4 linked regions of the Caenorhabditis elegans genome follow. The protein of the gene in region 4 purifies or fractionates together with the protein of the main gene of each other region. This does not show direct contact. Each region holds a gene or a part of one and is shown on either strand. Other genes may lie near its edges.

Evidence for each region.
Region 1: the proteins of dpy-14 (region 4) and Y54E5A.2 fractionate together in Caenorhabditis elegans (co-fractionation; one large-scale study listed by BioGRID). This does not show direct contact.
Region 2: the proteins of dpy-14 (region 4) and Y17G9B.8 fractionate together in Caenorhabditis elegans (co-fractionation; one large-scale study listed by BioGRID). This does not show direct contact.
Region 3: the proteins of dpy-14 (region 4) and T26A5.6 fractionate together in Caenorhabditis elegans (co-fractionation; one large-scale study listed by BioGRID). This does not show direct contact.

The regions. Positions count from the first base shown.
Region 1 is NC_003279.8:14,691,235-14,701,478, reverse strand, and holds Y54E5A.2 (Recep_L_domain domain-containing protein), read right to left. Parts: upstream 7,326-10,244; 5' UTR 7,310-7,325; coding exon 7,240-7,309; intron 7,165-7,239; coding exon 6,890-7,164; intron 6,159-6,889; coding exon 5,927-6,158; intron 5,036-5,926; coding exon 4,941-5,035; intron 4,895-4,940; coding exon 4,777-4,894; intron 4,304-4,776; coding exon 4,132-4,303; intron 4,039-4,131; coding exon 4,011-4,038; intron 3,535-4,010; coding exon 3,356-3,534; intron 2,724-3,355; coding exon 2,621-2,723; intron 2,574-2,620; coding exon 2,476-2,573; intron 2,230-2,475; coding exon 1,978-2,229; intron 1,494-1,977; coding exon 1,432-1,493; intron 1,274-1,431; coding exon 1,179-1,273; 3' UTR 1,087-1,178; downstream 1-1,086. Other genes in the region: npp-4 (Nucleoporin p58/p45), read left to right, coding at 1-169; ttm-5 (Putative sphingolipid delta(4)-desaturase/C4-monooxygenase), read left to right, coding at 9,765-9,869, 9,922-10,222.
Region 2 is NC_003282.8:4,755,368-4,761,736, forward strand, and holds Y17G9B.8 (SGF29 C-terminal domain-containing protein), read right to left. Parts: upstream 3,474-6,369; 5' UTR 3,264-3,473; intron 3,215-3,263; 5' UTR 2,751-3,214; coding exon 2,677-2,750; intron 2,631-2,676; coding exon 2,182-2,630; intron 2,135-2,181; coding exon 1,947-2,134; 3' UTR 1,810-1,946; downstream 1-1,809. Other genes in the region: fbxb-77 (F-box associated domain-containing protein), read right to left, coding at 1-408, 678-769; Y17G9B.11 (PID domain-containing protein), read left to right, coding at 1,238-1,444, 1,495-1,575; memi-1 (MEiosis-to-MItosis transition associated), read right to left, coding at 3,873-4,055, 4,107-4,298, 4,348-4,533, 4,581-5,060; cyp-31A3 (CYtochrome P450 family), read left to right, coding at 5,693-5,785, 5,832-6,232, 6,276-6,369.
Region 3 is NC_003281.10:6,446,035-6,453,557, reverse strand, and holds T26A5.6 (UDENN domain-containing protein), read left to right. Parts: upstream 1-2,866; 5' UTR 2,867-2,872; coding exon 2,873-2,929; intron 2,930-3,263; coding exon 3,264-3,461; intron 3,462-3,508; coding exon 3,509-3,746; intron 3,747-3,823; coding exon 3,824-3,979; intron 3,980-4,025; coding exon 4,026-4,348; intron 4,349-4,404; coding exon 4,405-4,751; intron 4,752-4,799; coding exon 4,800-4,933; intron 4,934-5,127; coding exon 5,128-5,228; 3' UTR 5,229-5,546; downstream 5,547-7,523. Other genes in the region: Histone-lysine N-methyltransferase set-1, read left to right, coding at 1,202-1,365, 1,499-1,737, 1,792-1,979, 2,068-2,205; let-721 (Electron transfer flavoprotein-ubiquinone oxidoreductase, mitochondrial), read left to right, coding at 6,652-6,886, 6,939-7,523.
Region 4 is NC_003279.8:6,841,828-6,848,003, forward strand, and holds dpy-14 (Nematode cuticle collagen N-terminal domain-containing protein), read left to right. Parts: upstream 1-1,761; 5' UTR 1,762-1,795; coding exon 1,796-1,818; intron 1,819-2,216; coding exon 2,217-2,355; intron 2,356-2,406; coding exon 2,407-2,973; intron 2,974-3,025; coding exon 3,026-3,265; 3' UTR 3,266-3,315; downstream 3,316-6,176. Other genes in the region: dpf-3 (Dipeptidyl Peptidase Four (IV) family), read left to right, coding at 138-263, 314-425, 471-617, 672-820, 870-981, 1,136-1,273; H27M09.5 (uncharacterized protein), read right to left, coding at 4,057-5,039, 5,083-5,125; syp-4 (Synaptonemal complex protein 4), read left to right, coding at 5,767-5,832, 5,878-5,974, 6,021-6,176.

The sequences.
Region 1 (10,244 bases), 7.9 Mb from region 4:
ATCTCTATTCGGTGCAACAACTTCTACTGCAACATCCTCAGCTGCTGCCACCACCACAACTCCGACTACATCACTCTTCGGATCAACCAAACCAGCCACCACAACTACACCATTTGCATCGACTGTTGCTAATAATTCCAGTGGTCTTTTGTTCAGTTCAAAGAAATAATTATTTATTTTTTTATTTCATGATGACTGGTTTTATTATTTAATTTGTGAAATATTTATTTTTTCTGATCTTTCTTTCGATTCCTCACGCTTTTCCTGTTCTTACCCTATTCTTACATTAAGCTTATTCGATTTTAATTTTACATTGTCTCTACACAGCAAATTTTCCCATGAAATCTGATTTTTTGTAAAATTTTTGAATTTTTCATCAAAAATTAAGGTACTATAAGGGTATTGAAGGATTACTGTACGGGTACTGTAGGGATACTGTAGAATTATTGTAGTTTGGGAAATTTGAATTTTTAGCTTTAGTAGAGGTATTTTGTTGGGAGTTGGTGGGGATGATGTTAAGGTACTGTAAGGGTACTGTGGGCTTACTTTAGTTGTTTTGTATGATTACTGCAGGCTAAAAATTGACCTTTTTCAGAATATAGTAGTTTTGAACATTTTCAGGAAAATTATTTTTTTGCCCAAAATAAAAAAAAAGGACAGTCATTAGAAAATTTGGGCAAAAATAAAAAGTTGTCTAAATTTGTTGAAAACGGGTAATTCATACATGCAAAATTCAGAAAATCTAGGTTTAGTCCGTCAAAAACTATTAAAAAGTGGCAAAAATGGCCAATTTATGGCAAAAATTCACAATTTTGAAACTTCACTAAAACGGGCAATTTTGTAGTTAGAGGACTCAAAATTGATTTAGGATCACTAAAAAATTGCCCTTTTTCAGAATATAGTAGTTTTAAACATTTTCAAGACAATTATTTTTTTGCCCAAAATAAAAAAAAGGACAGTCATTAGATGGCTGAAAAAAATTTTGGCAAAAATAAAAAGTTGTCTAAATTTGTTGAAAACGGGTAATTCATACACGCTGAATTCAGAAAATCTAGGTTTAACCCGTCAAAAACTATTGAAAAATGCCAAAAATGAGTCATTTATAGTAAAAATCAAAAATTTTGAAACACCATAAATTCATCATTTATTTATAAAATCCGAGTTCTCTCGACAATGTACTAGTGTGAATTAACTGATTTAAGAGTTTTCTCCAAACGCCGTGTCTTCTCTCTGTGCATTAAAATGACGGCAGTGACGAGAAGCAGGAAGAATGCTGAAAATGTTTTATTATTTTTGAGCTGATTCTTTTTTTTTGAAATTCAGCATTTTACTTTCATTAGACGCGATAAGTTTTCAGAAGTATTAAATTATTGGAATTTTTTGTTGTAAATTCTCACTATTTCAATTTTAATTTTCTTCAAAAACTCTTACCAGCAATTGCCAGCGCCCAATAGAATACAGTATTTTGTATTGCAGAAACCTTCTCGTCAACTCTGAAAGTTCGAAATTTGTTATCAAATATATATTCCCCAAAATTCCAAATTCCATGAAAAGCCTCAAAAAATTCTGTAAAATCGATATTTCTGAAATATCCCGAAAATTCTAAAATCAAAAATTTTTTTTAAAAATCGCATTTTTTTGAATTTTTAAACCTTAAAAAAATTTGAAATTTTTCCGACGTTTTTTCGGACGTTTTTCAACTTTTTTTTTAACTATTCAGACTTTTCCAAAAATTATTTGGCAATAAATCAAACTCCAGGAAATTCTGGAAAATCGATAAAATTCCATTATTTTCAAAAAAAACATTAATTTCCCAGAATTTTCCCAACTAGTAGCAATTTTCGAAAAATTCTGAAAATTGAAAAAAATCGAAATTGTTAAATGTTATAAAAAGTTTCAGGGAAAATTGGAAACATTTGAAAATTGAAAATCTGAAAAAGAAAATCTGAAAAATTCCCAAAAAATTTCCAAACTCACTTTAAATTATGAAAAGTGATTCGAACCTTCTTCCGTTCCTTCGCCAAAATCAAATCAATTTTCATGTGCCACGTGGAAAAGTCAAGAATGAGTAGCTCGCCGCCACGTTGCACGGTTCCCTGCAGCAGACACGGGCGGTTCTTATCGTATTTTTTGGGTTTTCGAAGATCAATTCTCCATTTGGCGGACGTGGTTCGCATATCGTGAACTTCTGAATCCATTCGGATACGGAGATGTTGGTGGGCTCCGACGCTGAAAAATCGATAATTTTGCTCCTGATGATGTAAAAGCGCTCTATCGAACAAGTAGGCATTTTTGTGGAATCGATAATAAAAAATCGATATTGTTAATATCGATTGTTCCAGAAAATTTTGCGATAGAGCACAATTGCATCCGATTGACAATAATTTCCTAATCAAATTTAAACATGATCGAGTCCTTATCAATGTCTCCCATTTTGCAATTGCGCTCTACTGAACTAAGGAAGCAAAAACCCACGTCACTTTCATATTATCCATTCCAACGAGCACATCGATAAATTGCACTTGCTGACACGAATCGGAAACTTGCTCCTCGGATTCCACGTGGACGTCTTCCTAAACGTAGGTATGCCTACATGCCTGCCTGTCTACACTGAACTTACCATCGAAATATTGTGGCACTTGGCCCACTCGTAGCAATTCGTCTTTTGAATATTCGACTTGCAGGACTCTAATTCGATGAACATTCCAGACGTGAATTTGTGCCTGGAAACAGCAGTCGTATCAAAAAAACTGTTAATTGCCAAAATGTAGAGAATTCGATTTCCTATATTTTGTCCATTTACAAAATTTCATTAGCTTTGCTTTCCGCAGAGTTATAAGCGTTTTAAGTTTGCAAGGTAAGTGAGAGAGTGTGTGGCGAGGGGAGAGCGCAGACACCGCAGAAACTTTAAAGCGGTGTATCTCAAAATTGAAAAATGCTCAGAATTTCATGCTCTACAAGATGGGCGAAAAAGATTTTGAAACTTTGGAAAAAAAAAAGTTTTTTAGCATTTTTGAGAAAAATTTCAGCGGGCTTTATCTCGGTGGTAATAGGAGCTACATAAAAGTTGTCAACTAACAATTTGTAGAAAATTTTATGTAGTTTATTTTATTAATTAAAACAAATATTCTGCCTCCCACCCACGCAAAAATACACCTGTTTTTATGATTTCTGTAGCTCCGAATCCGTAAGAGCTACAGAAAACTTGTCAACTAGAAATTTCAAGCAAATTTAAAGTAGTTAAGTTGATTAATTGATACTTTCTTCGTATCTCATTTTTGCGCAAAGATATGGGGGTTTTAAAGAAGCTTTTAACCACCTCCCCTCAAAACCTAAAAATTCCCTTTCAACTTACCCAGCAGCCTTGTTAGCTACAATGAACTTTGGCACCAAATCACTTCGGATATCTCTTAAAATATCCTCAAGCACAATTCTTTTCAACAATGACGAGAACAATGGAATTCCCTGATGAGCATACGGAGGGATTGAGAGCAGTCTGTGAAGTTGGTTCAGTGACTCGCTGGGTTGGTTGGGCTGGAAATTGAAATGGTGAGAGGTGATGGGAATTGTAAAACGAACACTTTGTAGAGAATTTAATTTTCTACAAGTTGCTATCATAGATAACAACTTTTTGATATCAAGTATCTGAACGGGATTAGACAGGTTTTGGGCTAGTCTTCTGGGGGAAGTGAAGCGCTATCTCAAAACTCCTATAACTCGGAGAATTTTGTAGGTGCCAAAAAGTAGTTAACTAAAAGTAGTTAATTCTATAAAGAATCTAATTTGCTACATTTTGCTAGCTAACAATACTTTGAGATCTTACATCTGAACGGAGCTAGAAAGCTTTCGAACTATCTTGGAGGAACTCCTGTATCTCCGCAAAGTTACCTAGCTATCAAAAAGTTGGTAATCTGTAGAGAAATTAATTTCCTACAACTTGTCAGTTGATAACTATTTGGTAGCTTGTACTATTACAAAGCTACAGCCACTTCAAATAACTTCCATCTTACCTGCGCTTCCTTTTCCATTTTCCACTTCCTAATCGACAAATGCCCAACTCGGGTGCGAGCGGAATATTGATTTTCATTGAAAATTTTAAATATGTACTAAAAATAAGAGGTGAAAACTGACCAATCACTAGCAGTCTCATAATCATGTCCACAGATTGAGGTGGGACAGCAGCACGCCGAACAGCAACCCCAATCATCCCAGGAGATGAACAATTGAATATTGTTCTTAGTGTCGTTCACAGAGTTTATTGAAATTTCCAGAGACTCGTAGTTTTCGTAGGTGAAGATTTTATCTGAAACTGTATTTTCAATGGAATTCTCTATATTTTGTCATCTGTCAACTAATTGCCAGAATTTTGATATCTTCCTGATAAATTAAAATGAAAGGGTTGTTAACTAGGGATCCATAAAGAACGTTATATGGATTTTGGAATTTCTGAGTTTTTTCCTTAAAAAATGATCACACGAAAAAGTTGCCAACTAACAAAATATGCTCATTAAAATTCTATACATTTCGGCAGTTGACAACTCTTTGATAGCATTCCTCTGCGCAAAGTTACAAGCTTTCAAAGTTTTCCCAATGCGAGAGTGTAGAGGAGAAGGAGAGCGCTGGCAGTGTCTGCACTCTCCCCCTCCTCCGCGCTCTCTCGCTAATAAAACTTCAAAGCGGGGTATATCTCGGCGGGGAGTAGAGATAGAGAAATCATGGAAAACGAAGAAAGAATCAGAATTTGAATTTCTATACGATAAAGTCAATAAAGCTTACCATTCTGCTCTCCGTCCCCAATAATATCCTCATTCACAAAGTTATAGCTGCTCACAATTTTACCATTCAACTCAATTCCACACATTGTAGTAAATCCTTCAATTTTTCGAGAATGAATCTGTAAATTTTTGAGTTTTTCAGAGAGTAAAGTCCTGGAAACCAACCGCCAGCTCTCCATTGGGGAGCCCTATAGCTTCTCTGTCGGTTTCAGTGGCTCCATGCTCTCCACTCCATCTTGTCACCTTTCCAAAATGCAGGTCTGTGGAAGGTGTAGTTTGGCAAAAGATATAAAAAGGAAAACGGCGTCACAGGGACTGGAATCAAAAATGTGCTCACAATAATTTTCAGTTAATTTGGCTCAATTTCGGGATGATTTACAGATATAAGCTAGTTCTAGATAAACTATACAAGCTTCAAAAGTACTAAGCTTAGGGTTTTTAATGGTACTACATTATTTTAAGTATGATGAAGCTATTGTTTATGGTGCATGATTTGTGGATTTTTAAGCAAAATAGCCTGTAAAATTTTGTAAAGAAAGCTCCATCGGCTGCTCAGATACGAGCTTAAACACCAAGTGGCACCAAAAAACTTGCTAAAAGCCATTTACAACTTAAAAAAATAGCCCGCTCAGTAGCTTCATGTCGGGCTTAAAGGTCATAAAAAGTTGAAAATCAAGCTTTTGCAGGTTTCCAGTTATTTCGATGATATGAAAAACAAAAATTACACCACCAAATTACTACATTAAATGTATTTTTGAAACTGAAAAATTTTATGCTTCTTGAAAAAATGAGAATTTTCGGCGAAATTGTCGAAAATCGCAGGGGGGGGGTCCCATAGCAGTTGGGCGGTCGATTTTTCAACTTTTTGCTCTTTTGCACTCAACTTTTGAGATATCATGATAAAATTATAGATCCATAGGTTTTTTGGTATGCTGATTCCAATTCCAATACTAGTTTTCTATAAAAAAGTAGCTGTTGGGTGCACTGTACCTACTAAGCACCTTAGGAGTACCCTTGAGAGATAATGAAGGCTTGTGATATGTATGCTATGCTTAACTAGACTCATTGAATTCAGAAATAAATTTCTGATACTTTGAGGGTAATTTCAGCTAGTTCGTCTAATTTTCAGCCAAGTTAAATAATACACTCACTATTAATTCTCAAGTAATCCTGAAAATTCGAGACACGTGGCTCCTGTTCACAATCCTCCCGACTACAATAGTGCAATAAATTATTGATTTTTCGAGAGCCGATCGTCAATTTCGTGAAAATCTGAGTGAAATCACGTTCCGGGAATACGTAGTACATTTGATGGAGACCTTCAATTATCGGATGACACGTGGCACATTGCGGTTGGTACGGGAGGCCCGCTTCGCGAGTTTTCTGCAAAATAACGTTGATTTTGATGCAGGGGCAGCGTTTTCTGGAGAATTTAAATATCGGGGGAAGGCGATCTCAAAAAAAAAGGGGCGGGAAAAACAATTGAAAATTTACGCTCCGCCCCTATAACAGGTCTAAATTTTGAACTTTTACACTCAAATCTACAAAATTTTATAGAAAAAAAACGGTTTTTTTCATGTGAATAAGCCCGCAAAAGATAATAAAACACGTGGTCAGAGTGTCCCATTTCGGTGTGATCTTCAAAAAATGCGGGAATTGAGTCGCAGATTTCTCAACAAATTTTGTAAGTGTGCTGGCGACACATTTTACTGGGCAAAAAATTTCCGCATTTTATTGTAGATCATTCAAATTTACGCTACGCCTCTATAACATGTCTAAATTTTGAACTTTAACACTAAAATCTACAAAACTTTATGGAAAACGCCTGACACCACGTGTAAAAGTGCGCTTCACCAAATTTATTTTAATCATTTTTTTTTCTCTTTTGCTCATGAAATGAATTTGCTCACTAGAAACATATAAAATCTAGCAGAAAAACAGCTGCATTTGTCTATGATCTTAAAAATTGATTAAAACTGGTCTTGGCACGATTCGCGAGTGTGCAAACGCGCTCCACCGAACTTTTGCCGTTTTTATAGATTTTTAGGCCCGAAAAGCTAAAATTCAACAATATTATATAAAAATTATCGAATAAATAGAAAAAAAAATTAAACCTGAAAAATGCGAAATCCAATATTAAAGAACCCGTTAGAATCACACAATTCCTTTGATATATGAGGAATTCGAAACGCCGGATTCGATATAAAATATGGTAATTTGTGATAAATCGTCTGATTCCCATTTAACCATCCCAGTGAGTCGAATTCCAAGATTTTTCCGTCGAATAGTATATTGTTGTACTTGTGAACGTTCAGGTAATTCTCAAATCTCCACGTGTCTTTTGATAATGGAATTGAGGAGTACAGGGAGTAGAGTTCCGCTCGTCTTTCTGAAAAAAAAACAGTAGATTTGAGACTTTGCAGAAAGGGGCTGCAAACGCGCTCCAGCGAAGAGGTCTCCTTACCAAACTCGATAACAATTCCATGCACTGTCGAAAAAAGCATAAGTTTCAGAAAATTGAACAACAAAACCATGGTTGGTTTGGAGAAATGAAGCAGATTGATTTTTCAATGGATTTAAAAAGTTTTTACGTGATAAATTATTTTTAAAAACATATTTTTTAAATAAATCGTATCGAAAATTTAATTAAAAATTAAATATACCCCGTGAAATTCTCTACATTTTGTTAGTTAAACACTTTTTGATAGCATTTCTCTGCGTGAAGTTGTGAGCGTTTGAAGTTTTTTGGGGTGAGAGAGTGTGGGGGAGGGCGAGAGTGCAGAGAGATATACTGCCTGCACTCTCCTCTCCCTCCACGCTCTCAACACCGAAACTTAGAAGAGGTGTATCTTTGCAGAGAGGAAAGATACAAAAATATTGTAAAAAGGAAAAATGTTCAGAATTTGATTCTCTATATATTGCAATAAAAACAAATTGTTCGGAGTTTTTTTTAGTTTCTTGTTTTTTTTTCCTGAAATTCAAACTAAAAAGTGTATTTGAGCAGTGTTTTGCTCTACAAAGATATTCTGCATTTATTGGGTAAGAGCCAAAAGTGCCATATCTAACCGGAAGCTTATTCTACCAAATTTTACTTAACTAACAAAATATACGCCTTGAAATTCTGTACATTTTTGCAATTTACAATATTTTAATTGCACTCCTCTGCTCAAAGTGACAGGCGTTTTAAGATTGGCGGGTGAGAGAGCGCGAGGGAGGGGGAGAGTGCAGACACTGCCTGCGCTCTCCCCCTCCCCCACACTCTCTCACCCGCCAAAACTTCAGCGTGGTGTAACTCGGCGGGTAGGAAAGATAGAGAGGTAGTGTAAAAGACAAGAATGTGTAGAATTGGATTTTCTACTGGATAACGTTTTGAGTTTTAGCATTTATGAAATTTATGAAAAATGAATGTTTGAATTTGAATTTTCAATTTTTAGTTTTCCAAATGATATTTCATAATGTTTCCGTCTAGTTTTCATTATCAATTTCCCTATACTCTACTGTCTGAAACTGTTTGTTTTACCACGAAAATGACCAATACCTAGTGAATCATTGGAAAAAAAGAGCATCGCTTCCCTCTCCCGTCTCGCTCTCAAAACACACACACACACAGTTCCTTCCTTTCTATTTGCATGTATAGTTGCATTCTCTACGCAATAAGTCCACCTTTCCGTATGTGTGTGCTCCAAGAGCAACGGAAACTGGATTCAGGTGGTTGCTAACCAACCAATTTCCCCCTCTGGCTTTTCATCCTATAAGGTTTCCAATTTATCACTTTTTGTCTCAGAGAGCATATGTGCCTTTGAATTTATTGAAAAATATAAATTTTTAGTTTGAAAATGTGCAACCTTTGCTAGATGTTTTGCTTTAAAAAGCACTCGCGCTATTTTTTACTTGTTTGTGCGTGGTTTTACGAATTTTTAACTAAATATTTCTTAAGCCCCCTATATCTTCCTGAAAAATGAAGATATCAAAATTTTCTCAGCCAACAAAATATTCTCCTCAAAATTCTCTACATTTTTGCAGTTATCATTGTTTCTCTACCTCTTTTTTCCACAGAGTTACACGCGTTTCAAATTCGACGGGGTGAGAAAGTGTGGGGGAGGGGAGTGCGCAGACACTGCGCTCTCTCCCTCTTCCACACTCTCTCGCCTTCAAAACTTTGAAGCGGTGTATCTCTGCAAGTAAGATAGGTAGAAGCATACTGTAAAAGCAAAATTGTGTAGAATTAGATTTTCTAAAAGATTGTAAAGTTTTGGAAATTTTTTTTTTTTTAATTAAATGTTTTTTTTTTCAAAATTTTCAAAAAGTTACACCACTTCTCAATGTAACTCAATTCCAAATTCCTCTTCAAGTCTATCCAAAGATCATATTGTACCTGGATTGGAATGTCTCTATAGTCCCTGCGCACTCTTTGCTCTCAAGAACAAATACATCACTACGTGTGCCTTATAGTCTGTTTCTCTGCTGCTCTCCTGCTCTCTCCTTTCCTGATTCATCATATTCGTGTTCTTATCATTTTTAAGACGTGATCTTATCACACAAAAACTGCCCATTTTAATGTGTTCCGAAAGAAAAATAACCGCCCATTGATTTTCTTTTTGTGCAGGAATTTGTAGAGGTGATTTACACGGTTTTTTTTAATTTTTATTACTGGAATTTTGAATTTAAATGGTTTTTTTTGTCAAAATTTAGTTATTATTAGTTTTTGAAAATTTAACAAAATCAAACCCCCAAAAAAATCATTTCACAAAATTTGTTTCAAAATTTTCAGAATTCAATTCACTCCTCTTGTAGAAAATCCAATTCTACACAATTTTTCCTTTTACAGTGTTTTTCTATCTTTCCTACCTGCCGGGATACATCTCTTCAAAGTTTCTTTAGCGAGAGAGCGTGGGGGTGGGGGAGAGCGCAGGCAGTGTCTGCACTCTCCCCCTCACCGCGCTCTCTATTTAAAATTTCTACTTTTCAGATCTCAAAACTGCTCTTAAAATGGGGCAATCAGTGAGTCGAGATGATTTTATTTGGACGTTAACAGAGCAGCCACATATGAGTAGACGAGAGGAAATTGTGAAAAAGTACCCAGAAGTTAAAAAGGTGAGTTTATATTTTAAAACGTATGAGCATTTTCTGAAACTGAAAATTTTAGCTATTCGGCGTTGATCCATCTCTAAAATACGTGGTGTCTAGTTTGGTAATATTTCAAATTTTTATGTGTTGGTTATTACAAGATGCTGATTGGATATTAATAATACTTGAAGCCTACTTTTGCGGTGGAATAATCAATCACGCAATGACACTTGCCATCCATGATATTTCACATAATACGGCTTTTGGTAATAAGTACCCATTGAAAAATCGATTTTTCGGAATGTGGGCAAATTTGCCGATTGCTGTGCCGATATCAGTGTCTTTTAAGAAGTATCATGTGGAGCATCATCGATATTTGGGTAAGTCCATTGTGTAAAAAAT
Region 2 (6,369 bases), on a different chromosome or scaffold from region 4:
TCTTCATCTTGTGAACTATTGTTGTCCGATGTCATGGACATCATGGACAACCACCCAAACTCCATTCCTTTGAGTTCATTAGAACATTCAGGGTCAGCTGTACTAATATGTAAGCTATCAAGTTTTGTTTGATGAAATATTTCCATAAGATGATTCAAAAATTGTCTCACTCCAAAAAATGGGGTTTCCCATCTTTCCCCTCTGAAACCAACATGCACTCTTATGGGCTTCTGTACAGTATGGTGGCTGGGGGTTGAACATTCGAAAGTGTAGAATCGGAAATCTCTACAACCGGAAACGTCAATCAATATTTCATTTGAATTAATTGCGATGATAAAACGTTCGGTTTTTATACCAAGGTGTTTAGTTTGTTGCATTGCAGCTTTAGATGTGAATGATAATTCAACTCTGTAATGAATATTTCATATTGACAAGGAAATGCGATTAGTGAACCATATCCCTGGATCAAGGCTATTTGAGAACGGGATGTTTGAATTTTAATTTTACTAGTCGGAGGAAGTCGAGAGGTAGGCTCGAAAGACACCGGCTTGTTGAGTAATAAAAGTTTCAAAGTAACTATACATTTCATTAAAACTTCTCGAATCACTCAAGCAATTTTTCGAATTACGCTCTTCAGCAAACTACAGAAAAAATTTAATGATGATCTATGTACTCACAATGCTTCTATGCACATTCTGCGCAGCACGACATCAATCGATTTTTGAGGTAATTTGAGCAATGTGAAGGGAATAGGCACATAGTCATCCATGGTCACAAATAAAGAATGAGCAGATGGGAGGATTGAGTGGTAATGTTCAGTGACCTCTTATTTCTCTAACTCTCTACTTACTTGTTATTATACATCTGCTGCAGAGACAAAGATTTCCTTCGTCCGTAACCACTCCCATGTTCCCAGGACCCATTAACATATTCTAACGTCTTCTTATTCTGACAAAAAGAATCTTCTCAAACACTTCACTCTCACGGACGAACGGACAATCATCTTATGGAAATATTTCATCAAAAGAGAATTGATAAGTTATCATTTGATACTGCACAATTCGAAAGTACGATTTGTGATGAATTCGAAGGATTGGAGTTTGAGGATTTGCAGCTAGGCACAGTGTTTGGCTTTAACAGTTTGCTATATGAACATGTGTTGAAACAGTTTTCCGGTAAAACTGATTCAATTTGTACAAGCAGCAAAAACCCGTTCTCAATAGAAGCATCTAAACAAATGCAAATGGTTTTAACACGTAACATGGACATAGTTGTACTACACCAATCATTGAAATATGATCTTAATGATGTACTAAATAGTGACAAATGCTTCCGCATTCGTCGCTTATCTAAGAATCAAAGATGTCAATATATTTTTGAAACACTGGATTCACGGAGTCGACAGGAAACTGGAATCTGCGAATTTCGATTTTACTGCATTCAGGTGAGACGAAGATCTTCTCGAATCACTCTTTGAAGGTATAGAATATCTAGCAGATAGCTATCTCTAGTGCGCTTTCGATGCTGAGGAGACTGTGGATAGAGAATTTTTTGTTCTTTTGCCGTTGGGATTGACGGGATGTGACGAGTATCCTGTCAAAGGTGGTTATGATGTGAGAAGGAATGATGGGATGACGGCTATGTACTATTTATCATTGTAGATCGTGCAGATATATTAATCAAAATGTTTTTCTGGTTTTAAAATCACGTTAATTTTTAATAATCAAGACCACGCATTGGATCACTTTCTAATTTTTTCTGCACTCTCTGAATTATTTCTCTTGTATAATTTTCGAATAATGTTGCCGCCAATAATAACACGTTTTATTTTTGATAAGAACAACTTTTATGGACAAATAAAAAACATTGTGAGATTTATGAGAAGGAATTCCGGGATTTTTAGGAGTTACATACAATAAATACTGTCAATTAATTGGATTATGGCCTCATTTCTTTTTGTGGCCATTTCCCTTTTTTGGAGCAGTTGATGCAGTGAGCCCTGCAACTTCTCGGAAGGCAACCACGTATTTCTGAGCAACCGGCATTGGAGGGCAGAATCCTGATGCATAGCTGTCGTCTTCGAACGCTACTTGATATGGTTCTCGAAAATCTGCTGGCGGGGAGTGAACTATTCCTGGAAAATAATTATTTTATTTTTGAAACTTTTGTGAAAATTGGTACCTTTGTAGAAGCAAGTGGTTTGTGGATACAACGCCAACACAATCGCATTTTTCTCGAAAAGTGCATGCTTGTCTGATGCAGGATTCGCTTTCCATTTTGGGAGGGGTAACAAATGGCTTCTCGCGAAAACTGTCAACTTCTTCTTGTCATCATCAACGTCTCGACACTCATATCGCGAGTTAGAGTGACATGTGACAATATCAGCAAGAATCCAGTTTCCGTCTTTACTGAATGCCGCCACTGAATCTCCGTCGCCTAGTTTCGAGCCATCCTGTGGTGCAATAGCTCCAACATATTCTCCAGGAAATTGTGTGTCATGGCTGGTCCATAATGGAAGAAGGTCGCCGCGAACCTTGATCAGTTCCATTAAATCTCTCCGACTGATGTCTCCGGCCATTTGGGAGCGATAATCCATTTCAGCAACACGTTTTACTTCGTCCAAAAGATTTCTGTAATATTTATTTTAATTTTGAGAGATTAAAGATGAAAACGAACCTAATGAATGATTGTTGTGATTCCACAGATCGATGAGTGCTGGTGACAAAATGTGAAATTCCATCGAAAACCATGGAAACTTCTCAGTAAACCCGTTCAGAATATACCCAGATTTCAACCGAATTTGTGCACAGCATGCAGAAATCGCCGAATTTGTACAGATTGCAAATTTGAACAGATTTTCGAGGCAATTGCCCCGAAAATTTTGTTGAAACTATTCAAAACTTTACTTCAAATTTTAAAAATTTATCTAAAACTTGGTCTTCATTGATTTCTTTTGTTAAGATTTTAATTGATATTTGCAAGAAAACTTTAAAATCGTGGCGAGACCCAGCCGTACAACCACGTGCCCCTTTAAACAGACTACTGTATTTATATTGAATTTTTAATGATTGGATTTCGCAAAAATTAGTTATAAAAATTGTTTAAAAAAACCCACTTTACCCTTTCCATAGGGGTTCGGCTCATTATCTCGGAATTCTTGAAGTTTTTGCAGATTCTCGTTGATAGCGTCTTGCTTCGATTTCACTGTTGGCAGCTGGAAAATTAATTTCAAAACTAGGAATAAATAAATAAATAAAACTCACCTTTTTGATAACCTCTTCGGCGGTTTTCTTCTTCATTTCCTCGGTGATTTGCACATCGTTCTTCTTCCGAGGCATTTTGAAATTATGCTATTTTCCTGAACAAGGAAATGAAGAGGTGCAATAGAGCAGATATATATTTAAACGGGAAGAATCGAGAGAGACCTGATTACGTGATGAGACGGGGAGAGTGCAGACATTACAAGTCGTATGCTGTGAATGAGGCAATGAAAAGGCCAGGTTGTTGCGGTGGGAAAATAACGTATATGGAGTAATTTACCAGTGAAAAGCCGGGAATAGTTGAAATTCATATTCTAATCAATCAATCAGAGCAGTAATGCATTGTAAAATTATACCTCAAACAAATTCATCTTTGAAAAAAAATCAAAATAAATGCGGGCAATATACATGTCGAATATAAACAAAATAGTCGTGGGTTGTCACAATTTGGGCATTGGAGAATCTATATACATAAAACAACTAAAACAAAAAAGGAAAATAAAATAGGGGAAGTTAGTTGGAATATTCAACAGGAACCACTCGGTTATTTAAATACATATACAATAATACAGACTTATGCACATTACTACTAATTATAGGACATATATGGAGTTACTCGTCCTCTTCATCCAGTTCGAATGTTTCGAGAAACGAGATCAGGTCGTCGACTGGCGCAATTCCGTTTTCCAGCGAGATCATATCCTTTTCGACCTCGAATTCGTGGATTTCGACTGGCTCTTCGACAATCAGCACTCGCCGGTTCATGCACTTCACCGTTTGCTCCAATTCGATGTACTGAAAATGTTATAAATTGGAAATCGATAGAATTATTGCTATACAACTCACTCTATTTCTTCGGAAAGGATCCCTGGTGCTCGAGTTGTTCTTGTACACGATCCTCGTTTCCACGTGGCGCTTTCCTCGAATTGAACACGTGATTGATGCAGTCGAAGTCATCAGCCGGCCTTGTGAATCGAGTCCTGGCTCGAGATTTCCGTATTCCCGGCAGTGTGTGGTTCTCAGGAGACGAGTGATAGTCTGAAACATGAAAAGTTATTTGTGTGTAATATAAAACCGATTTACTTACTCTCTTCGTCTGTGATCGGATCAGGGTTGCAACCACAAAGCTATCTGTCATTTGGAACCTTTCGTTTTCCTTCTCTAGTTGTTCGAGCAATGCAAATAACGTTTGGAACGACATTTCATTGGTTGTCTGGATAGCAAATCGAGCCACATTTTGTCCCGTTTCCTTCGGTTCGGTCAGGAGAGAAGTCTGAAATGAGATTTATGCTTTATCAAAAATATGGCCAAGAAACTAACCAGAATCAAACTAGAGATATCCTCGACCGACAGCTTCCGGCACTGAGCGGCAAAATAATGTGGTCGTTGGTTGGGATGAAGAAACACGTGCTCGACAAGCGCTTTCTCCGATTCTCTGGTCGTGTGGAACCATCTTTGCGAGAAATAGTCGTAGCGCTTAAGACGAAGATTTTCAATCGGCACAGTCTGAATGTGCCGGAGCACTTTGACAGCTTCATCGCGGATGATTGTCTTGCTCGGTTTCTTGTCGACGAGCTTTGGAGTCTCATCGATACGATGAACGGAACAGTAGTTCTCATCTTCGACGAGCTCCACATCTTCTCCGTGCCCTTCGATAATTACATCATGATTGATGTTGGGTTGTGGTGGGAGGGAAGAGCAACCGGCTCGAGCGGTTTCCAAGCGATCTTCTTCGGCGTAGTTGGCGACGTATCTGGTCGCCGTCAAATCGCGAAGGACGGTGCGAGATGGAGCTGACATTCTGAAAAACGTTGATTTAAAATTTTATAAAAAATTTGAAGCAAAAATGAAAGAGAAAACTAAAAAAAAAGTAAATGTACTGAAGTGATTGGCAGATTAATAATAATTTATCGATAAAACCATTTTTTAAAAAACTTCATCAGTTTTTGTGAGTGTCAGCAAAGAAGAAGAAGATTCACGATCAAAAATTCGTTGAGCCTATATGAAATAGTTGCGCTGGTTTTTCGACGGGGGGATCAAATACGTCAAATAGGTCAAATAGACGAAGCATTCATAAAAAGTACAATATTCATTGAAAAATAGTTTTGGATTTGTTTTTTTGTTTTCTTCATTTTTTTGTTGAAAAAATAATGGTAATTAAAAGTTTTTAATAATTATTTAAATCAAGATTGAAATATCAGAAAACGACAAAAATTCGTTCGAGAACTTTCTCAAGACTACCGTACTCTTTAAAGACGCATGACGATTTTCACATGGGTCTCACCACGACTTGTCTGAAATTTGAATGTTCGTTCAAAAACTTTTTTTTTTGCGATTTTCAAAACCAAAGCTTAACAAACAATTTTCCTCAAGTTTTCAACGCTTTTTGCTCGTTTTTTTCGCTCAAATAAATTATTTCAGAAGGTTTTGCAATGGGGGTTATCATCCCCGCTGTACTTCTCGCTTCGGCGACGATAATCGCTTGGCTTCTCTACAAACACTTGAGAATGCGTCAAGCTTTGAAGGTTTGATTTCAAAATTCATTTGAAGATAATTTAAATAAATTTTCAGCATCTCAATCAACCACGTTCATATCCAATCGTCGGTCACGGACTGGTCACCAAGCCAGATCCAGAGGGATTCATGAACCAAGTAATTGGAATGGGATATTTATATCCAGATCCACGTATGTGTCTTTTGTGGATTGGTCCGTTCCCTTGCCTGATGCTCTACTCCGCCGATCTCGTGGAACCAATTTTCTCGTCGACGAAACATCTGAACAAAGGTTTCGCATACGTTTTGCTTGAGCCATGGCTTGGAATCAGTATTTTGACAAGCCAGAAGGAACAATGGCGTCCAAAGCGAAAACTCTTGACACCCACCTTCCATTATGATATTCTGAAGGATTTTTTGCCGATTTTCAACGAGCAATCAAAGATTTTGGTTCAGAAAATGTGTTCCCTCGGAGCAGAGTGAGAATTTCAATTTATAACGCTTTCAAATATTCATTTTCAGGGAAGAAGTTGATGTTCTCTCCGTTATAACCTTGTGCACTCTTGATATCATTTGTGAAACTTCCATGGGCAAAGCTATCGGTGCTCAACTCGCG
Region 3 (7,523 bases), on a different chromosome or scaffold from region 4:
TTGCTGCTCAATCTTACAACGACTAAACTTTTTATCGATTTAGCGTTTTATCGACCGCAGCATAAATAGGAAGGGAATGGAATAGAATATACCGATCGTTTTCTAATTACCCATTCATAATCGATTAGCTGCCAGCATCAATAAACCAGCGGCTGCATCTTCTTATGTCATTCAGATTCTCGACACCGATTCGATGTTCTTTTTTTCAGCATATCTTCTTCGTCGGGCTCTCATGTAGTCGCATTGAAGAATGACAAACTGCATTTTTTATGCGATGACACTCTTGTGCACGATGTTGCCATCGATTTGTTGCTCTGTTTCTCATAGTTGTTTTTTTTCAATTCAGTCAAAATTAATAGATCAATAGGACATCTAAATTTAAAATTCCAGTTGGTATAATATTTAAAATATAAATAGAAACATTAGTCATGCGCATGGCGTCAAAATTTATCTAAATTTTAATCTTTGAGTATCTTTTCTGTTTAATTTTACGAGCCCAATAAGTGTATCTATTATTACGGAAATATACATTTTAAAGTTCAATTCCATAATTTCAATCCACCATTTTTTACACCAACCACCGACATCTACCGTGAGTGCAATAACGCTCCACGGCACTTCCCGCCAAAACCATATGACTGCACACCATTTGAATTTAGTCGCGTGTGCACGACATTGTTCTTTGTGCTCAGCTCTCGTCAAAAACCACTGAATTTGATTTCTAATGAGGTTATTCACGAAATGTGGATAAATATCTTAATGATGATGTTCTACTCGGTCTTTTGATATTTGGAAATTCAACGGAATCGGTGAAAGCCCACCCTTTTCACAATAGAAACCTTCACTTTCTAAAAAAAATATTCCTCCGAAAACCCATTCAATCTGCTTTACGCATCTCTCTGCCCGCTTCAATTTCCTCTGTTACCCTCTTCCCAACTACTTTTTCAGGTACATCCAAGATGGCTTTTCCATTTTCAATTACAGTATTCAGGACCGATGAAATCATATTGAATATCTGGGTTTTTGAAACAACACATTATAATATTTTTACCCAACCATTTCAAAACAAAAAAAATAAATTGTGGGCGAATATTTCTATTATTTCTATGACACCTCTTTTGCTTCTTTATAAATTTCTCTATTTTTACTATTCTCCTCACCCTACAAAATTTATTATTTTTTCAGCGGTGTCACTCGAAGGATGAAAGTTGCCGCGAAGAAGCTGGCAACGAGTAGAATGCGAAAGGATCGTGCCGCAGCAGCGTCACCATCTAGTGATATTGAGAACTCCGAAAATCCATCGTCTTTGGCTTCACACTCTTCATCTTCAGGAAGAATGACACCGTCGAAAAACACAAGGAGCAGGTATGATTGATTAGTGACAAGAGGGATTGTAATAGAACGTTTAAAAACTTCAATATTTCTAATTGAATTCACAACATATTCACAGAAATTGTCCAAGCTGAAAACTTCAATTTCCAAATAGTTTTTCTTTCAGAAAAGGAGTGTCGGTGAAAGATGTCTCAAACCATAAAATCACAGAATTCTTCCAAGTGCGGCGAAGTAATCGGAAGACGAGCAAGCAAATTAGCGATGAAGCTAAACATGCTCTTCGCGATACCGTACTCAAGGGGACTAATGAACGACTTCTTGAAGTGTACAAAGATGTTGTGAAGGGGCGAGGAATTCGAACGAAAGTTAACTTTGAAAAAGGAGACTTTGTTGTCGAATACAGAGGTATGTAGATAACACAGATAATTGTTGTAATATTGTTTTTAAAAAGTATTCTAGGTGTTATGATGGAGTACTCGGAAGCAAAAGTGATAGAAGAACAATATTCGAATGATGAGGAAATCGGATCCTACATGTACTTTTTTGAGCACAACAATAAAAAATGGTGTATCGATGCGACAAAAGAATCTCCATGGAAAGGACGACTCATCAATCATTCCGTGTTAAGGCCGAATCTCAAAACGAAAGTGAGCATTTCAAAATTTGAAATTTATTAAGAAAGTCTTTGATAAATTAAAAAAATGTAAATAACAATTCCAAAACTAAACATTCCAGGTGGTGGAAATCGATGGGTCGCATCACCTGATTCTCGTCGCCAGGCGTCAAATCGCACAAGGAGAAGAGCTTCTCTACGATTATGGAGATCGTTCAGCAGAGACGATTGCCAAGAATCCATGGCTTGTGAACACATAATATGTTGCTCCACAACATCTCTTCGATCTGCTCAATCCATTTCAAATGTTCATTTACCTTCACGAGTATACTACTGTAATTCCCTTCATTTTCTCATATTTTCCACGGCACTCGTGCCCAATCCTCTCATTACTTCGTCTCTTTCAACCGCCTTTTCTCATTCTCACAGCGAATCAAACCTGAAACAAATCTCAATAACGAGCCGTAATAACGTGCTCATTTATGATAATCTGGATCTCGTGAGTATCCAATTCTGTACCTTTCCTGTTGACTTTTGAAAAGTCCCTTGTTCTTTCCTTTCATTGAAACCTGAAAATCTCCTCACTTGTTCCACTACGAAATGCCTTTAATATCTTTAATTCTTCTGTAAATTTCTCGTTGATCGCCCATTTTTTCCTGAATTATTCATTTTTGTGGTGTACATGAGGTGCGAGTTGGAAACCTACTTTAATGACTGGTTAACGCTAAAATCGTTTCCATCCCTATCGGAAAACATTATCAGCGTGCAAATCTCAATTTTTCATTTTGAAAACAATTAAAATCCATAAATTTTGCTACATTAATCTTTTTTTACGAGTATATTCCGTTTTCCGGTATAGCAACCATAAGAATTTATCTGAAGATGGTAAAATTCGGGAAAACATTAGAGCTTACAGTTCAGAGAAAGATGCATCCAATTCTGAATGTGGTCGTCGTTAGTTTCCATCACAAGCGAGGATGTGAGGTAACAAAAATGGCAAACTATCAGAAAAATCAGGAAAATATGATACATAAAAGAATAAACTCGAAAACGTAACGATTAAGGTCATAAATGTGCAGGAAAGTAATAAAATGGCAATATAAACTACAAAATCGCGTATATTTTGCAGTTAATTTGAAATAAATGTTACAGTCAATCGAACATTTCACAAAAAGCAGAACGTTTTTGGTACTTTTTACTATTTTTGCAGTATTTTTCATATACATTTAATTATTAAGTTTTGTATTATATGGAGTGAAGATTTAAATTCAAGTTCATCAACTCAATTTGTAAAAAATCAATAAAATAAATCTTGTAGGTAGAATACTCGCACCCGAAACTCGATGGCACGGGCGAATCGGGATTACCCGATGAATGGCATCTTCTTCCATCACTGGCGTTGCCGGATGGTGTACATAATTGTCAAAAAGATACAATATTCTTTTTGCTTCCATCTAGAGAAGAACCTGGAAAATCGATATTTGGCATCTCGTGTTACAGACAAATCGATGCAAAAGTGAGATTTTATATGACTCTTCAGATAAAAACTGTTTGACTTTGCAGGAATTAATAAATAAATCGGAAGATGTGACTAGGACCAGTGTTCAAAAAGCTGTATGCGTTCTTTCAAGAATACCACTTTTTGGTCCATTAAAAGCAAAATTGGAAGTAATAACTCAGGCATATTTTGAACAAAAAGATTTTTCGAAAGTTGATGTTCTTGCTCAAATGTATACGAATCTTTGCGATATATTCGACGAAAATCTTACTGGAGAATACTTTTCAAATCTAGCTCATCATGGTACGTTATTGAATCAATTTACTAAAATAAAACATGAAAATAGTTTCAAATGTTCACATTTTAATTAGCGATATCAGTTTCAGAAATATCAATTCAAGAGCTTTTTATACGATTCCGTCACCGAGCTCTACTGCTTTTTAAATTATTCCTATTAGAGCGGAAAGTTTTATTCATTGCACCAACTGGATTACGATTAGGAGAAACTATGCTGGCTATTGTTTCAATGTTTCCAAGTAAGAATATACAGACATTTTAAAATCGTTTAATTTTGAATTTCAGAGCTTTTGGAAGAAGGTCTGTTCTACGCAACAATCGGGGTCAATACGAGTTGTCATTTCAAAAATGTAAATTCAAAAACTGAAGGAAAAAGCGAAGAAATAGTGATAGAAGAGGAGGTTGGTGTTCAGCTTTCACATGATGATCCATTGAAAGAAAAGGATTCGTGTGGATTTCCTATAAGCTTATTCACACAAGGATCATCATTTGATCCATATCTATCAATTCAATCAATGGATTTAGTCCCGAAGACTCAGAGTTGTATATTTGGAGCTACGAATGCCTTATTTGCGATGAAAAAGGATTTATTTGATGTTATTGTGAAGGTTTGTATTTTAAATTAACAATTTTCAGGTTTCTAACTAAACTTGAGTAATTTCAGATCGAAGACGACGGTTCTCTTGTCCATAATCACATTGAATTTGTCAACGACACAGCATTGGAACGAGTAGTTTCTCTAACTACTGCAGATCTTCGATTCGCTGATTTTATTCTCAAAAAAGTCGAAGAACAGGTTAAATCCTCAAATGCTGAATTCGATGGATCAGATGAATGGATTCGTTTACAAATGAAAAACTATCTTCTTGGCCTCGTTGCCACGTCACGTTCCGATCTACAAGCAGCGATACCTCATTTTGGAATCGCTTTTGTAAACGAATGGCGGAGAACTAAAAATCACAAAATTTGGGTTGCAAACAAACATGAAGATTTAACATCTGTTGCGCCAGGGTGAGGAATTTCAGAACATGAATACATTTTTCAATCTGAATATTTCAGGCACATGTTCTCGGAACAAATGGGAGTCTATGACGTGTATCTTCGTTTTGAACATGCCGTAAATGGAGTTGAAGGAGCTTCAAAAGTTATTGGAACTGTAAATACTGCCGGAAAGAATTTAGGAAATACCATTGGTAATTTTTTTCGGGTTTGGAAATTAATATAGCATCTAAAAAATTTCGAGAAATGAAGTAGCAGTAAAAAATTGAGGGCATAGCTTTCATTGCTTTGAATTATTCAAAATGTTCAAAATTTACAAAACTGACATTTTGCCAAAACGAAAAAAATATTTTTAATACTAAAGTGATTAACTCGATCGTGTTTTCAGGAGAAACCGGTAGTCGAGTCAAAGCAAAATTCTCAAACTGGTGGAATCGAAAAGCAACCGCACAAGAAGGTGTTGAAGAGGCAGAGGAGCCATCTGAGTGATTTATTAAAGTCAAATATGTATAATGGGCATTTTATCATCTTTTAAAGTTTTTTATTGTAATTAGAATTTCTGTCATATTTCCTTTGTTTTGTTTGTGTTCCATTCAATTTGATCTCTTAATGATCGAATCGTTTTCATCCGGTTTATGTAAGTCTAATCAGTTTGTTTTTCATGTAATCAATATAACTATGCATTTGTTTAAACTCAAAAATTGGTTTAATATACGGGTGAAGATGAACATCCTTTTATATATTACTTTCTTCTAATGATAGAATTGTGATTTATGATCTGTGACCATTAATGTTTTGATTTTAAATACGTAGACAAGTTGAAGAGGCAAACAAATAACGTTTAATATTTAGTTGAAGAGAAAACTTTTTTTTCAAAAACTCGGATAATATTTTTTCCAGTTTTCTTATTCACATTTTAAAAGCACAATTTACAATTGATAATGTTAAAATTCAACAAACTTTTCAAACTTCCCAGGAACCCCCTACAAACTTTGTTTTCCTGTGACGTCACTAAGCTACCTTTGCACTGTAGACGTTCAGATTTGTAGTCTCTCCTCTTTTTGTCCCTCGTGGGAGACACATGTTCGTTGTACTTTGCCCTTTTGTCTACTCCTCTTATCTCTCCTTTCCTCTACACGTACGCAAAGATACACTTTACCCTGATTTTTTGCTTTTCTTTTCCGAAAATCACAACAATTATGTATTTTGTTTTCATTTGAGGAATACGTAGAAGAAAGTTATAAATTTTAGCTAAAATATTTAGAACTACAATTTTGTGACCCCAAAAATAATTCGAAAAATGTATCTTTGATAGTAAATCACCCATTTATTGTGGCTGGCTTGGCTGGTTGTTGACTTGTTTGTTTTGTCTGCAGTTGGTCAATCGATTTGTTTTTTCCCATCGTGTCTAAATATATTTTTAGTTGTTTCTTTTTTCAATTTTATGCGCCCAAAGATACAGTCACCGGTCTCGACGCGACAAAATTTTGCTAAATGAGAAAAGGCGTGCGTCTTTAATGAGTACTGTAGTTTCAAACATAAATAGGTTGCTACATAAATTCTACCGGTTTATCATTGTTTTTTTTCCAGAATTACTAAAATTTAAGTATTTATATCAACGGATATATTTGAGTCTTCTGTAAATAAGCTTATTTATTAATTATTAATTATTATTATTATTTTCGAAAATCTATGAAAAATAGAGTAAAATTCCACAGAAAATTTGAAATTATAGTATTCTTTAAAGACGCACACCTTTTTGTATTTAACAGTAACCAGAATGCATATATTTTGCGAAAAAAGCAAATACATTTTTCATTGAAAATTCACGTAATTTTTTAAAATTAAAATGCAACAATTATTTCTTCAATTATCGATTTCTTTCTCATTTCTCAATTTCTGTGACTTCAGAATGCGGATAAGTGGAGTCACATTATTCCGCGTCTCATCACAACTTCGCAACGTCGTCAACGGACAATGGACGACTACTCACTATACTGTAAAGGATCGATCCACTGATCCACGGTGGAAGGATGTTGATTTGGCACGAGAAAGTGATGTTTATGATGTTGTCATTGTTGGAGGAGGTCCATCTGGTTTATCAGCAGCCATTCGATTGAGACAATTGGCTGAAAAAGCTCAGAAAGGTAAAATCTAAACAAATACATTTTAGAGTAAACATATTTTTTTTAATTTCAGAACTTCGTGTCTGTGTTGTCGAAAAGGCATCTGTTATTGGAGGGCACACTCTCTCAGGAGCTGTAATTGAAACTCGAGCTCTTGATGAACTTATTCCAAATTGGAAAGAGCTGGGAGCTCCAGTTTACCAACAAGTTACCTCTGAATCTATCGCTATTCTCACTGAATCTGGTCGAATTCCAGTTCCAGTGCTACCTGGAGTTCCACTTGCAAATCACGGAAACTATATTGTTCGTCTTGGAAAGGTCGTTCAATGGCTCGGCGAGCAGGCTGAAGCAGCTGGAGTCGAAGTTTGGCCAGAAATCGCTGCATCTGAAGTGCTCTACAATGAAGATGGAAGTGTGAAGGGAATTGCCACAAGTGACGTTGGAATTGGAAAGGATGGAGCACCGAAAGATGGATTTGCTCGTGGTATGGAATTCCACGCGAAATGCACAATTTTCGCTGAAGGATGTAGAGGACATTTGAGCAAGCAAGTTCTCGATAAATTTGATTTGAGAACACATGCAATGACTTATGGAATTGGACTCAAAGAACTTTGGGAAATTGATCCAGCAAAGCATAGACCTGGTTATGTTGAGCATA
Region 4 (6,176 bases):
TTTTATGGAATTGCCAAAAACAAATTGCCGCCCACAACTATAGTTAGAACAATGTTATTGAAATTTAATTTGCCTAAATTCAATTGAGCATTCAGACAAATTATAAATGACTTCATTCATTTATGTGATTATTTCAGAAAAACAGGTCTAATGCACTATGCGATGATTCTCCGTCCAAGCAACTTTGATCCATACAAAAAATATCCAGTATTTCATTACGTTTATGGAGGACCTGGTATACAAATAGTTCATAACGATTTTTCGTAAGTCCTCATTTTGACTCTTCATAAAAATATTTAAATATACTTTTCAGTTGGATTCAGTACATACGATTCTGCCGCCTTGGATATGTCGTCGTTTTCATTGATAATCGCGGTTCGGCGCATCGTGGAATAGAGTTTGAGCGTCATATACACAAGAAAATGGTAGGAAGATTTTTGTATTATTTTGTAAATATAGTGAATTTACAGGGAACTGTTGAAGTGGAAGATCAAGTGGAAGGACTCCAGATGCTTGCTGAACGAACTGGTGGTTTTATGGATATGAGTCGTGTGGTTGTTCATGGATGGAGTTATGGTGGATATATGGCTCTTCAAATGATTGCTAAACATCCTAATGTAATTTATTTTATTCAAAAAATAATCATGTTTAAAATCCCTTTTATAATTTAGATTTATCGTGCTGCTATTGCCGGTGGAGCTGTCTCAGATTGGCGTCTCTATGATACTGCCTACACTGAACGATATATGGGATATCCACTCGAAGAACATGTTTATGGTGCGAGCTCGATAACTGGATTAGTTGAAAAACTGCCCGACGAGTATGTTTCAAAATCGTTAAAGTTTAATTGAATATATCAATTATTTCAGACCAAATCGTTTAATGTTGGTTCATGGATTGATGGATGAGAATGTTCATTTTGCACATTTAACACATCTTGTTGATGAGTGTATTAAAAAAGGAAAATGGCATGAGTTGGTGGTAAGTGTCGAAAATTTTAATTTCGAAGTGTCAATTATACGAAAGTTTTAGCTGAGGGATAATTTGAAGTGTTTCCTTTTTCAATAGTATATTTTTCATTTAAAAATAGTATTTCGATTTGAAATCACATTATAATTTAAAAAAAAACTTTCAGATCTTCCCAAATGAGCGTCATGGTGTTCGTAACAACGATGCAAGTATTTATCTGGATGCCCGTATGATGTATTTCGCTCAACAAGCTATTCAAGGTTTTGGACCAACCACTGCCGCTCCAAGACAAGGCCCGCTTTGATGCTAGATTATTAAAATTTTATAAATATTTTAACTGTTTTACTTATTTAATATTATAACTCCTAACTTTTAAGTATTCCCCATTTATCTTTTTTTATCCCCGTTATGTCTATTACGCCTCGAAAATCTTAATTATTTCTCTGTGTATCGAGTTATGTATTTAATTCGAATTTTTGTACTGCGCGCTGTGCGCTTGCATGTCTTTTAAGATTTGGTGTCAAAAATGAAGGGTTTTCCACATGAACTGATTCACATCAACAAAGGGCCGCCCGGTTTTTAGGATTCGGGCGGGGGAAGATGACCTAGATCTGAAGAAGGCACAGCGTTATTATTAATGCATTGGCATATGAATAATAATAATATCTTATCTTATCAGGAAACCGGATCACCTGATGAGACGGATAAGAGGGCAAGGACCTTTCGGAAAGGGATACTGTAGAATAGGCTCCGCCCATTCCGCTGGGGACATAAAAGGACATGGAGGTCCACGGGAAAGAGTAAGATTCCTTTTTCTTCAATCAAAATGGACGGAAAGGATCAACATTGGTGAGTTTATAATGAAATAATTATCGATACCCCCTTTTTATTGTTAATTTTAGTGAATTTTCAAAAAATTCAAAATTTTAAATTAAAAAAAAATTTATATGAATATTTTTTAAAACATTTTTTCCTATTGTAAATTCGAAAATATTACATTTATTATAGGATTTCTAGAAAAATCAGGATTACTAAGAGCATGAAAAAAGTAATTTATTCCCTGCTTCTTTCTGATTTTGAACCCGTAGGTGAACCCACGAGCATTTCTTTTCAGCTACCGTATCCGTGATTACTGTAGATTCAAAAATATTAAAATTCACGAAATCCGCATAAATACAGTCACGGGAAAACAGGACCTTTTTCACTCGAAGAAATTTTATTTTAAAACATGAAAATGATAATTTCAGCCACGCTCGTCGTATTGCCATCGCAGCAATTATTGTCTCAACATGTGCTGTTGTGAGCTCATTGGTTGCTCTTCCAATGATCTACAATATGGTTATCAGTATTCAAAGTGAAATCTCTCAGGAAACTGGTTTCTGTATGGTTAGTCAATTATTTTATTTTTTATAAAATCATTTATTTTTATAATTATAGATGCGTTCCCGTGACATGCTTGTTAACATGTATTCAACTGCTGGAAAGAGTGGATATCGTGCAAAGCGTGCTTGGCAATTCGGATCATGGGTTCAAGATTCTGGAGTCGGAGGTGGAGCCGGTGGATACGGTAGTGGACCAGCTGATAGTGGATATGGTGCACAAGGAACCAACAATGGATATGGACCAGTTGTTAATGCTGAACCAGAACCACAATGTTGTACATGCCAACAAGGAAAGGCTGGACCACCAGGACCACCAGGAGATGATGGAAAGGACGGAAATGATGGATCAGCTGGAAATGATGCTAAGAATGGAAAGGATGGAGGTGTTGGACCATCTGATGGACTTCAATCTGAACCATGCATGATCTGCCCACCAGGTGCACAAGGACTTGGAGGTGCTCCAGGAGCCAAGGGACCACAAGGACCACGTGGATCACCAGGACTTTCCGGTGTTGATGGAAGACGTGGAGAGCCAGGTATGTCTGGACCAGCTGGAACTCAAGGAGAACCAGGACCACAAGGACCACCAGGAAAGAAGGGAGATGATGGAAGAGTTATTAATGTAAGTTTTATAGTGTTGATGAGCTTTAACTGCAGCACAGGAAATATTTCAGGTCAATGGACCACCAGGAGCCGGAGGAGCCCCAGGACCACAAGGACGCAAGGGAGAACGTGGACCAAAGGGAGTTCCAGGATCAGTTCATCCAGGAGTTCAAGGACCAACTGGAGATCAAGGAAGAAAAGGAAGAGCTGGAAGAAAGGGAGAAACTGGAGGACAAGGACCAATTGGATCAAAGGGACCAAATGGAGATTGCTTCCATTGCCCAACTCCAAGAACTCCACCAGGCTATTAATTTCTCGTGGATTCTGTGTTATTTCAATAAATTATTATTTATTCAAAAAATTCTGTGTTGCATATCAAAGTTCAAAACATGTAATAGTTGGAATATTCATTTCAACTTTTAAAATAATCGGAAGAATATCAGTTCACTTGTACAGCAGGAGACGATTGATCCAGAAATCTGAAAATATTATAGAAGATGTGCTAAGAGGGGAAAATCTTAGAAAAGTAACACTTTTGAACTTTTTTATTTGTTGACAAAAATGATCTCATAATTTTGGAAGTCGATCAATTTTTTCTACGAATTTCATATTCTAACCATGTTCGAAATAATTGCATTCAAACATTTTAGAGATTAACTAGTAAGACATGCAAAATTGATTTCAATTTCTGGAAAATATCACCTTTTTTAATTTGGCAGTTCACCAACAAAACTTAGACTAAATAGAAATTTACAAAAATCTGGAAATTTTTTGTAATGTATTTTTCTGATATTCGATTATTTGACAGTAGCTCTACACCATCGTCAACTAAACTGTACAAATACTGAAATTTTATGAATCAAAAATTCCCCCAAACACCTAGAGACGAAGGTACTTCTTTTTCACAAAATTACGAGATATAACCATTTCTAGCAATCGTGATTTCGTGAATCCGTGAAATTTGGCTGAGACTGAGATCGTGGTGGGACCCACTTTAAAAAATCATATATCCTGTGTCCTTAAAGTGATTTCACGAGACTACTTACGATATTAAATATAACTCTTTTTCCAAAATACAATAAAAGAAAAACTAACCACATGTTCACTTTCTCTTTGATTTTCTCGATTCAACATTTTTCTTGGACGCCTTCTTCGAAATGATTTTATTTTTCTTTTCTGGTCTCACACTATTAGACCTTTTGGAAGGCGATTTCAATGGATTTCTCGTAGATTTTGCTGATTTTTTAGAAAGCGTTTTTGGTGGTTTTATTGTAGAAATCAACTTTTTCGTTGAGATTTTTGCTGATTTCTTATCCCCCGGAGACAATGGATCAGCCAAATAATTTCGTGAAATCTTTTTTGTGGGTTTTTCCTTTGAAGGAGATGTTGGTGGAAGAGAATAATATGATTTTGGATTATCATTTGATGGCTTTACAGCAGTGGAATATGTTGATTTTCCAGTATCCACATAAACTGAACGAACGTCATCAGAATTTCGTTTCTCATGTGGTGGATCCTCCACCTTGTCATCGTATTTCTTGTAATTTCGGTAGCTGTTGCTTTTTTCTACAGGCATTGATCTGGCTGACTTATGTGAATTTTCACGTCTTCTCTTTTCATCCCTATAACTACTTCTTCTGGATTCTCCATCTCTATCTCTATCTCTATCACCTCCTCTTCCAAAATCACGTCTACTTGGAGATTTCTCCATTTTATGAGCCGATACATTATTTTTCTTGCTCCGAGAGCTATCTCTTTTGTCCCTAGAACTGCCACGTTTACTTCCAGAACTGTGTCTCTTCTTCCGTTTGCTCCGTGAGCTTTTCATACTCTTCTGTCTTGATTTTTTCTTTTTAGAACCTTCTTTCCTGTCAGATCCATTATTGTGATCATTTCCATCTTCCTTATAATTTTCCTTTTCATCTTCATTATCACCCTTCTTTTCTCTCTTAGATTTTTTAGATTTCTTCGATTTCATTGATTTCTTTGACTTTGAACCTTTTCGTCGGAACATCTCACGATGCCCGGTAGTACATCCAAGCACCATCGTTGCACTAGTTAAAGTGGCAGTCACCATAAGACATACTGTAAAAGTTGCTTCAAAAGCTGAATCAATGAGTAAACCTACGGTAATTCACATTCTCGGCCATTTGTTCTGGCGATGAACTCATTTTGTGAACAAAATAGAAATAAAGATGTTTTGATCAAATGAAAAGGCTATGCAAACGACACATCCAGTTCGAGACGTTTAATTTTGATAAATTTATATTAGCGTCTTTTCCATCCTTCAGTGAACTTTCAAATCTCCCAAATATCGTAAAAGAACATCGGCTAGGTGTTACATATAGACCCACTTTTCAGGGCCGCGCGCACGCAGCCCCGATACGCAAAAATTAAGCTGTTGGCGAATCTCAACTCGAGACTGCCACACAGGTCAGCCCGCACCAAAAGTGCAATGGGTAGGCCTAACCATGGGGATTCCGCCTTTGTGATCGCGAAATAACCCCCAGCCAGGTAAGTTTATGAGCCTGCGGGTGGAGGGAGTAGTGCGATAGGGTGTCCCGACATTTTGCGGTCTCCGCTACTCACTGTGTTTAGTGTATATGAGGCGGATTTTGACGTGATGGCAATTTGCGTATTTTACATTTAAGTTTACGAGCAATTGCAGGTACAGTAACCTTTGATGTGCAGGCACGAAAAAAATCTCCATTCAAAAGTTTGTTGCTTTTAGGAGAAAACTGAACTTTTCTGTTTCTTTGTTCGGTACGGTAACCTCATTTTTCATCAAAATTTTTTATTTCAAGGCGAAATAATGTCGTTTCCGACGCTACAAGTACGTCCAAATGAGAAAAATCCAAAAGTTCTGCGATGCCATGAGGTATTTTTAATCTACAGACAATCAGTTGTAATCCTCTTCTTTCAGTTTCTTCGCCAATCAAATCAACTTGTGGAGCGAAACATGATCAACACGGAAGGAAGAAAAATGTTGGCAAAGTTGCTGACGAAAATGGTATCCGAAGGTAAGATTCCCGATGGTTCATCGTTTTCCACTATTTTATTATTTAGCCAAAGGAATCTATGCATTAGATGAGAGACGCGCCGAGTTGGCAAAAAGTGGGAAACTCCAGGAGAAGCTGAAATCAGCTTATCAAACATCGCTGACAGTAATGGAAGATCGTCTACACATTGCTGAGCTATCTCGGCAGGTTCAAGAAAAGAAGC